Linked DNA regions of Daphnia pulex. The protein of the gene in region 1 purifies or fractionates together with the protein of each later gene. This does not show direct contact. Links are inferred from orthologs where the notes say so. Each region holds a gene or a part of one and is shown on either strand. Other genes may lie near its edges.

Evidence for each region.
Region 2: the proteins of Y-box factor homolog (region 1) and ATP-dependent RNA helicase me31b-like purify together in Drosophila melanogaster (affinity purification with western blotting; 3 studies listed by BioGRID, with this or other methods). This does not show direct contact. The link is inferred for Daphnia pulex from reciprocal best matches to the Drosophila melanogaster genes yps and me31B.

Annotation. Positions count from the first base shown.
Region 1 is NC_060017.1:4,193,612-4,198,192, forward strand, and holds the start of Y-box factor homolog, read left to right. Parts: upstream 1-1,660; 5' UTR 1,661-2,056; coding exon 2,057-2,117; intron 2,118-2,324; coding exon 2,325-2,388; intron 2,389-2,514; coding exon 2,515-2,548; intron 2,549-2,609; coding exon 2,610-2,747; intron 2,748-2,810; coding exon 2,811-2,943; intron 2,944-3,001; coding exon 3,002-3,210; intron 3,211-3,275; coding exon 3,276-3,557; intron 3,558-3,622; coding exon 3,623-3,670; 3' UTR 3,671-4,581. Other genes in the region: E3 ubiquitin-protein ligase UBR3-like, read left to right, coding at 3-120.
Region 2 is NC_060018.1:12,397,524-12,401,610, reverse strand, and holds ATP-dependent RNA helicase me31b-like, read left to right. Parts: upstream 1-1,312; coding exon 1,313-1,407; intron 1,408-1,470; coding exon 1,471-1,543; intron 1,544-1,605; coding exon 1,606-1,840; intron 1,841-1,898; coding exon 1,899-2,042; intron 2,043-2,100; coding exon 2,101-2,195; intron 2,196-2,255; coding exon 2,256-2,378; intron 2,379-2,435; coding exon 2,436-2,564; intron 2,565-2,724; coding exon 2,725-2,905; intron 2,906-3,074; coding exon 3,075-3,286; intron 3,287-3,350; coding exon 3,351-3,416; downstream 3,417-4,087. Other genes in the region: tyrosine-protein phosphatase non-receptor type 14-like, read left to right, coding at 1-18. UniProt on the Drosophila melanogaster protein: ATP-dependent RNA helicase which is a core component of a variety of ribonucleoprotein complexes (RNPs) that play critical roles in translational repression and mRNA decapping during embryogenesis, oogenesis, neurogenesis and neurotransmission.

The DNA.
Region 1 (4,581 bases):
AGGCGTGGAAAACCGTTGTATTTAAGTAAGGAACGTTACGCATTGCTACAAAGCCAATGGTTATCCCATCGGTTTGATCACACCAGCAAGAAATGGATTTGGCACCGCGATGTATTGTAAAGTAAAATTAGTTTCACTTCACTGAAAACGTCGGAATCTCTCATGATACACTGTTGCGGACACTTACTGATGCACTGAGTGAGTTTTTCTTCATTTAACTTTTAATAATATAATTGAAAATCACTTGTACTGTAGATACAATTTCATTTATACCCTAATTTATTCTGTAAACGTTTGTTGCTGAGCTTATTTTTTCTTTGGTTTTTCAATCTTAAGTTTTTTTCTTTTTCTTCTTTTGCTGTAAAGATGTATGAGACTAATTAGCTTGCGCACAGTTCGAAAATATTGAGTAATCAGTTGAGCATCGATGTGTCATTTTCATTACAACCTTCATCAAGTGAAATCAGACCTTTTGTGCCTTTAACATTAACTTCTCAGCCGAAGGTTTCTTTTGCAATGTTTTTGCCTTGATCGTCCATAAAATTTCTTCAAAGTACACTATCCAATTTTAAATGATTCAACTCGGCATTTTTTGTTGAGGAAAGAATGTGAAATGAGGTGACGTATGAAACAGCCCTATTTTACGAAAAAAACCTAAGAAAAATTTGTTTTAGCCACTATTGCGTTGATCTTTTTTTCTCCCTCATTCTATTTTACACGCTATATAATAAGACACTGGAATGTTATTGGTAATATTTCCCATTTCCTCGCCGATGAATGTAAAAATGGAAAATTGTAATTAAGTAAAAAAAAAAAACAAACAAACAAGTATTGCCCTGCGAATACCTTGGCATTATAATGTATCATGTATCACACACACCAACACGTGAGGATAACAGAAACTAGCTACGATGCGATTGCAGTTTGGCATCTGCCACCAAGTCTTTTGTTAAATTTCTCAATTATCATGCTTATATTCGCTTTTGACGTACAGTGTTCCTTAAAAGGTTTGTCGTTCGAATTCAATATCAATAAAGAATTTGACGATTTCAAGTGATGAGTGTAATTTTATTGTTCTAGTTAAATAACAGTTTAGTTATAAGAACTTAATTCATTTCTTATTTTAATCAGGGAAGATTCTTGCACTAGAAAGTAAAATTTGTGTCATAGAAATATAAATATTACAAAACCCTTAGTGAATTGCGTAATCTGTGCATTTCTAAGCAGTTTGCCATCAGCATTACTTTAACCATTATGATATATGATATTATTAAAATGATAAAAAAAAATTTGAACAAAACATAATTGAATTTGAATATATTGTGCCTTTTCACCTTGGGCTTGGGGCGTGCCTTTGCTTCCTAAAATATGAAAAAAAAAATAATCTAATTTTGAACCGAAGCCGAAACGCCATCTCTAGAGCTCACCAAGCGTATAACAGGCTTTCCAATCCATCCAATGGAAAAAGAGTACCCCCGTTAGGCCGTTACTTCCCTTTGTCGCCCTTTATGTACTTCATCATGCTGAAATAATAAAAGCAATAAAATAAAGAAATAGTGGAGAGAAAAAATACGGAAACTTACATTCAACTTCTTTCAAAATTATAGTAATTCTAAATTTTACTTCAATAGATTTAAGACTTCATTTTCAATTGTAGTAAAAACCTAACTTGGCCTGTCTTTAGGTTTATCTTGCCAGTCTAGGAAAAACCAAATTTTGTTATTTCAAGATAAAAATAAATGTACGTAGAATTCGTAATCGGTAAATGAAAAATCAATCATAAATCTTAGAATGCTTCGAAACTTTTGATAATATTTCAAGAAATGAATAAGATACAAAAAAGAATGCTTTATACTATCGCCGAATCGCGCATTAGAATTGCACTATCTATCGATAGTTTTGATGCTAGTGAGTTAGCGTGGACTTCTGCAGAAGTGGCACCACTGTAGAGCGTCTGCAGAAACAGAAGAACGACTGATAGATCAAAAGGAAGGGCGTGCAGTGCTACCATCAAGGAGTGTGGGTCCTTTTACCATCTTTAGCCAATTTAAACATCATGGCCGACCCGGAAAACCAGCCCGAACAGCAGAAGGCTGCCCCGGAAAAGCAAGTCATTGGTAAGACATTGTAGAATTAAGTAATTGTGATTTCATAAAAATAAAATGGCCCGCACCGGCGTGGTGCGAACACATCATGGAGGACGCTTCGGTTTACGATAGCCGCCATGACGATGCTATGCCAATAGCTTGCAATAGTGTTTTGTTTTTCGGCTTGACGATTTTCTTTAGTTGGGTTAGTAATAATAATTTATCTTTCTTTTTCAGCTACCAAAGTGACGGGCGTGGTCAAATGGTTCAATGTGAAGAGTGGATATGGCTTCATCAATCGGTAAAAAAAAAGTTTATAATCCTTTTGGAAAAATTATATGTTTTCATGATCCTGCATTTAAGATATTTATGGAAATTTAGAACTTCCGAGACAAAGTTTATTAATTTATTATGTTTTTTTTTTCAGCAATGACACCAAAGAAGACATCTTTGTCCACCAGGTATTTATTTTTTAATCAAGTCTTTTATGCTCAAGTACATAATTGCTGACTTTTCTTGCAGACGGCCATTTCCCGTAACAACCCCAGGAAAGCTGTTAGAAGTGTTGGGGATGGAGAAATTGTCGAGTTTGATGTGGTTGTTGGTGAGAAGGGCCATGAAGCAGCTAATGTTACTGGGCCAGAAGGTGAACCAGTAAAGGTAATAATTCAAAATTTCGAGTGTTTTAAATAGCACTTGGTATAATTTTCTTTTCTTTCATAGGGTTCTCCATATGCTGCCGATCGGCGTGGTCCTGGTGGGTACGGCTACCGTAGACGTGGAGCTGGGGGTACTGGTGGGTTAGGTAGTGGGTATCGACGCAGGCCAAGAGGATCACGTCGTGAAGGAGATGAGGGTAACACAATGCAAATCTCAAGTTAAAGGAATTTTTCTTAAAACTTTCCACTTTATAGAAGGTAAAGATCATTCGGAAGAACGCGGAGAGGGAGATGAAGAGAATGATGAATCAAATGCTCCACGAGAAGGTTCTTCTCGTGGACGTTTCCGTGGCCGTTATCGTGGAGTAAGCTACCGTCCTCGATATTTTAATCGTCCCCGTAAGAACACAGAAGGCGAAGAAGTTTCTGGTGACAAGTCTCATATGGATGGCGATGCTGATCAAGTAAATGATTTCTTTTTATCCCTTATGTGCGAAACGTAAGATTCTAATATTTTTTTGTGTTAAAGGAGGGTGGAGAAGAAAACAAATCTCGTGGTTCTCGTGGAGGTCTTCGTGATGGTGTCCGAGGAAGTGGTCGTCCTCGGGCTCGCGCTCGCGCTCGTGGCTACTACGGACGTGGACGTGGAGCACGTTCCGATCAAGGAGTTGGACAAGAATCATCCGAAGGAGTTCAAGAAGACGGCTCTGGCGACATTCGTGGGGGGTATCGCGGACGTCCTTTCAGAGGTCGACGTGGCGGACGCAGCCGTGGTGCCAGACCACGCTCCGGAGAGGGAATTGAAGGAAAGGTCAGTATTTTACGAAACTTTTTTTTTAGCTGCAGATAACTTACACACAAAATTTTTATTTTCAGGTTGAAGGGCAGTCTATGAATGCCACTAGTAATGAGAGCAACGCGTAAATTCATGATGACTCAAGAAGGGAGCGTACGCATAGGGTGGGGAATGATGGGGAATCGGACGGGAATTTAATCATCCCTGGCTTATTCCTCTACATTTTGTTTTTGTCTCGATACCAAGACGTCATTGTTGGGTGACACTTAGCGTTTCTTTTCTTGGTCGTCCTTCTCCACCTAAAATTACAAATAATGACTAGAATTGTTAACTCTAGCGTAAAACAAGAGGGAATTGTCTTAATTTAATTTTGATTGGAAAATTCGTCGGTTGTAAGCGGGTCGAAACGATATTTTTTTTTTCTTTATTATCGTGTAAAGGACCTGAGCTATGGCTTTACATCCCTCCGCATTGCTCTCGTCAACACGTGTGCTTGATTACGAACCATTTGTGCAGAAAATGTGTAGCCAAACCTTTGTGCTCGATCTCGGTCTTAATACTTTTCCATCCCGTTTTTTTTTGTCCCGAGTTTTGAATCTGTTTTCAATAATTTTGGGTTATAGGAAAATTACTGCAACCACATGTAATATTTAGTCAGTTAACTAAGTACAAAATTTGCGCGCCTTAAAGAAAGTGCTGCCGTTTTTTGTTATTTGACCATTTTTTATGTTAAATTTCTTTACCAGCTCTTAAATTTAAACGGGATTTAAGTAATTGACCAAGATCGAGGCAATTGTTCGTCTATGAAACTTCTGTTCCTCGAGACGAATCGCTCACTTTTTTTTTTCATTCTATAAATCTGTTGGTTGAAATCTGAATTTGATTTTGTGAAACCTCAAGCTTTGACAGCAAAGTGTTTTGGTAGATTTGTTCAACTGCATTGTGTGGGAAAATAGTTTTTCCGCTTCGATGAGTCAGACACGTAAACCTTGACTTTTCGCTCCAAAGTTAATTCTAACTTATCCTCATCCACATGCTA
Region 2 (4,087 bases), on another chromosome or scaffold:
CGCTCTCGACTCATTTGATCTTGCAATGATATATTTAAAACACACACACACACACGATGCATTCGGCCTTTGATTCAATTGTTGAAAGATGAACAAGCCAATCAACATGTTCCTCCATTTTTGTGATACTTAGGCAATTCATATGATCACCAACCATTATTTGCTTGCTTTTTTTCATAACATACCACTATTAATGAATTGTGGGAAAGCTATTATACAATTTGTAAAGAGTGTTTCAATCACATGCGTTTCTTCAATTTCTATTGCATTTCTACTAACTCCACGATGTGCAGCAATTTTATAGATTATTAACTCACGCCTAGTCCCTATGACGTGCCTTTTTTTATTGATAGAGAATTAAATAATAAACGATATTTTTAAACAACACCTGATCTTCATTCATTTAATAAATAATAAAAATTATCGAATTAATATAATTGAAATTCCCTAGATGCTCTACAATTTGGCGACGTGGAACTCAATATACCTATCCTCCCGCCTCCCCCCTTAAGCCAGGCACGAGTAAGCCCTGAAGGGATGTTTCATTACCTCTAACCGCCACCAGGAGGACTAAACAGAGACTTCGACTACTATCTCTACTCAGATCCCTTTCGACTCTCGCGCAAAATAGATAGACATTGTTCCCGAACATTGACACACTTGTTAATTATTTTCCAATTTAGTCAACATCTTCGTAAGGTTGGTATATTTTCTTCTCTTAATTTCTTCATTTTGAGTGATGTCAATTGTTGAATATTATCCAAGTTTTGTTTTGCTTGCTCTAACTTGTTTGTCACGACCCTCCCCCTATCTGTGGACTGACTCACTCACAAACAGTCGCTGCTTTGCTTTCGATGCGTAGAGCGCCATAGTGAACACTGTTTCTCAGATAAACCAATTCTTTATCCGTTGACATCCTTGCTCGTGTTTAAAAACTTGTCTATTATATCTCAACTACTGGTCTACTAGGTCAGTTTGTCATTTGCTGAGATTTATTTTATTCGAAATTGAATGCTTCAGTGTTACACGATCAAAAGTCTTTGTGTATATGGACGCCGATTCTGTTGACTTACCGCCATTGACAGATTCGATTTTTCTCATTTTATTTCAGGTTTAGTAAGCGACGTTTGTATGTGCACAGAAGACTGAAGCCATAGTTCCTGCTTCTTTGGTTTCACGTTATTTTCGTTTGCAGAAATCGTTCGCCTTCGTTGGAGAAACTTAAGTTCAAGTGATCGTTGTTGAAGAAGGAATTCGGCATTTTGCTCGAAAGTTTTGTTAAGTAAGAAGAAAAAGAAAAGAAGAGAAAACCATGGCAGAAGCCGTTGCTAGTCAGCCAAGCTTAGTGGCCAACAATCATGCCCTTTCGCCGATGAGACCCAGTCCTCAGCCGCTAATTGCGAAGCAGTAAGTCTTAAAAATCATGTGTTCTTTGTTCGTATTTCATGACTGTTTTTGTTAATATTTTAGAGAGAATAACTCTGACAATTTCTGGAAGTCTCAGTTGAAGATCCCACCCAAGGATCGTAGAAAACAGACTAGCGTAATATTCTTTCATTCAAACATCTATGAGAGTTGGGGGTTAAATTTTTGGTTTAATTTCAGGATGTTACCAACACTAAGGGAACAAGTTTTGAAGACTTTTGTCTGAAGCGTGAATTGTTGATGGGTATCTTTGAAAAGGGATGGGAGACACCTTCACCCATTCAAGAGGTTGGAATTCCTATGGCTCTGACTGGGCGTAATATCCTGGCTCGTGCTAAGAATGGAACTGGAAAAACAGGTGCTTATTGTATACCAGTATTGGAACAAGTAGTTCCGTCTGAGCAACACATCCAAGGTACTGACAAGTTTAAGTTTTTCTTACAGTTCTGGGCCTAATTTTTTTTTCTTTGTAGCATTAATTGTTGTGCCAACACGTGAACTGGCATTGCAAACAAGCCAAATCTGCATTGAACTAGCTAAACATTTGGATATTCGTATCATGGTGACTACTGGTGGTACTGACCTGAAAGATGACATTATGAGGATCTTTGGAAAAGGTATTCATTATTCCTTGTTTACTTCCATGCAAGTTTTAACAATCATTGTTTCTTCCAGTTCATGTTGTGATTGCCACTCCTGGTCGTGTTTTGGATCTGATGGAAAAGAAGATTGCGGTAATGGACCGTTGTAAGGTCCTTGTTTTGGATGAGGTATGTGGGAATTATTAAGAGTTCTGTTAGACGATTGTTCTTATTCTTTTGTGTAACTAGGCTGACAAACTGCTCTCTCAAGACTTCATGGGAATGTTGGATCGTATAATTTCGTTCCTACCAGCCAAGCGCCAAATTTTGCTTTATTCGGCAACTTTCCCTGTAACTGTCGAGGAGTTTATGGTAGGTTTATTGGTTCTTGTAATTTGGTTCTTGATTTAACAATGATTGTATCCACAGAGGAAACACATTGATAACCCATATGAAATCAATTTGATGGAAGAACTAACACTGAAAGGTGTCACGCAATACTACGCTTTTGTCCAAGAACGGCAAAAAGTGCACTGCCTCAATACGCTGTTTTCTAAAGTAAGTAAAGGTTTATTTAGATTTTCAGTATAAGACTGATGAGTTATTGTTGGATTCCCCTTCTCTCGTCTGAGAGAAAATCAACACCTGATTTTACTTGAATTAATTTTAACTGCTGTGTTTTAAAGTCACGATATTAATATCTGTGTTGATATTATAGTTGCAGATCAATCAAAGTATTATCTTCTGCAACTCCACTCAACGTGTGGAACTTTTGGCTAAGAAGATCACTGAGCTGGGCTACTCGTGCTATTACATTCATGCCCGTATGCAGCAAGCTCACAGAAACCGCGTCTTCCATGATTTCCGTAATGGGCTGTGCCGTAACCTCGTGTGCTCCGGTAAGATTTGCTTCATCTTTGTAATGTTAAGTGCTCGACTGTTATGATGAACTTTTTGTTGGATTCCCCTTCTTTCGTCTGAAAGAAAATCAACATCTGATTCATTTAATAATGTGAAGCCAAGAAGAGAAAAGGATGTTGAAACTAATCTTTTGCGTTTTTATAACAGATTTGTTCACTCGTGGTATTGACATTCAAGCTGTGAACGTGGTCATCAACTTCGACTTTCCCAAGATGGCTGAAACTTACCTGCACAGGATTGGTCGTTCGGGTCGGTTTGGACACCTGGGTATTGCTATCAATCTGATTACTTATGAAGATCGTTTCGCCCTGCATCGCATTGAGAGTGAACTTAGCACTGAAATCAAGCCCATTCCTAAGGTTAGTCTTGGATATCTCGTGCAAGTATTCATTGTATTTACATTGTTTTATTTTTTCAATGAAGGTCATTGACAAATCCCTCTACGTGGCCGAGTTCCAAGAAGATTCCGAGGAGCAATCAGGAAAGTAAAAAGGCGAGAGAATGTCTTCGAAAAGCGCATGCATCACACAACGTCATGATAGGACACAAAAAAAAATTGAGAAAAAAGAAAAGAAAATGAATCCTGTAAGTGAAATTTATGAAAGGTCGTTCACTGGGACCAATGTATTGAAGATCAGAATTAATGAAAAGCACTCATTAGCAATTGGAGGAGTGCTGCAGCATGTAGGGAAAAAAACCATTGTACAAGAGTAAAAACAAGGATAACTTTAAGCATGCGCTATCGAAAGACTGTTGTAAATATGTAAATTCTCACGGTGGCGAAGAGCCAGTTTTTTTTTCAGTTTAGGAGAAAAGTTTTTGTTTTGTTTTTTTGGGTACAATGTTTTGCGTGAATGGATGTGTGAACGTCGAAGGCTAAAGCGTTAGGGCGGCAGGTTCCGTAAAAGATGAGATTCCGTCAGGGAGTAAGTATGTGAAATGAAGTTTGGGGGGGTCAGCTTGGTACACTTTGCATTGCTTTTGGAATGGAAGAATCTCGCTCCCAAAAGCAGTCCACTGGTGATGTTACAATGGCTCCCTCGTCGAGGAAAGTTTCACCGATATAAGACTTGAAAGCCGCCCGTTACATTTTATATACATAATCTAGCCGACCCACTACCTGAATGTGAATTGTATATTTGTTAACATGTATCGTACCA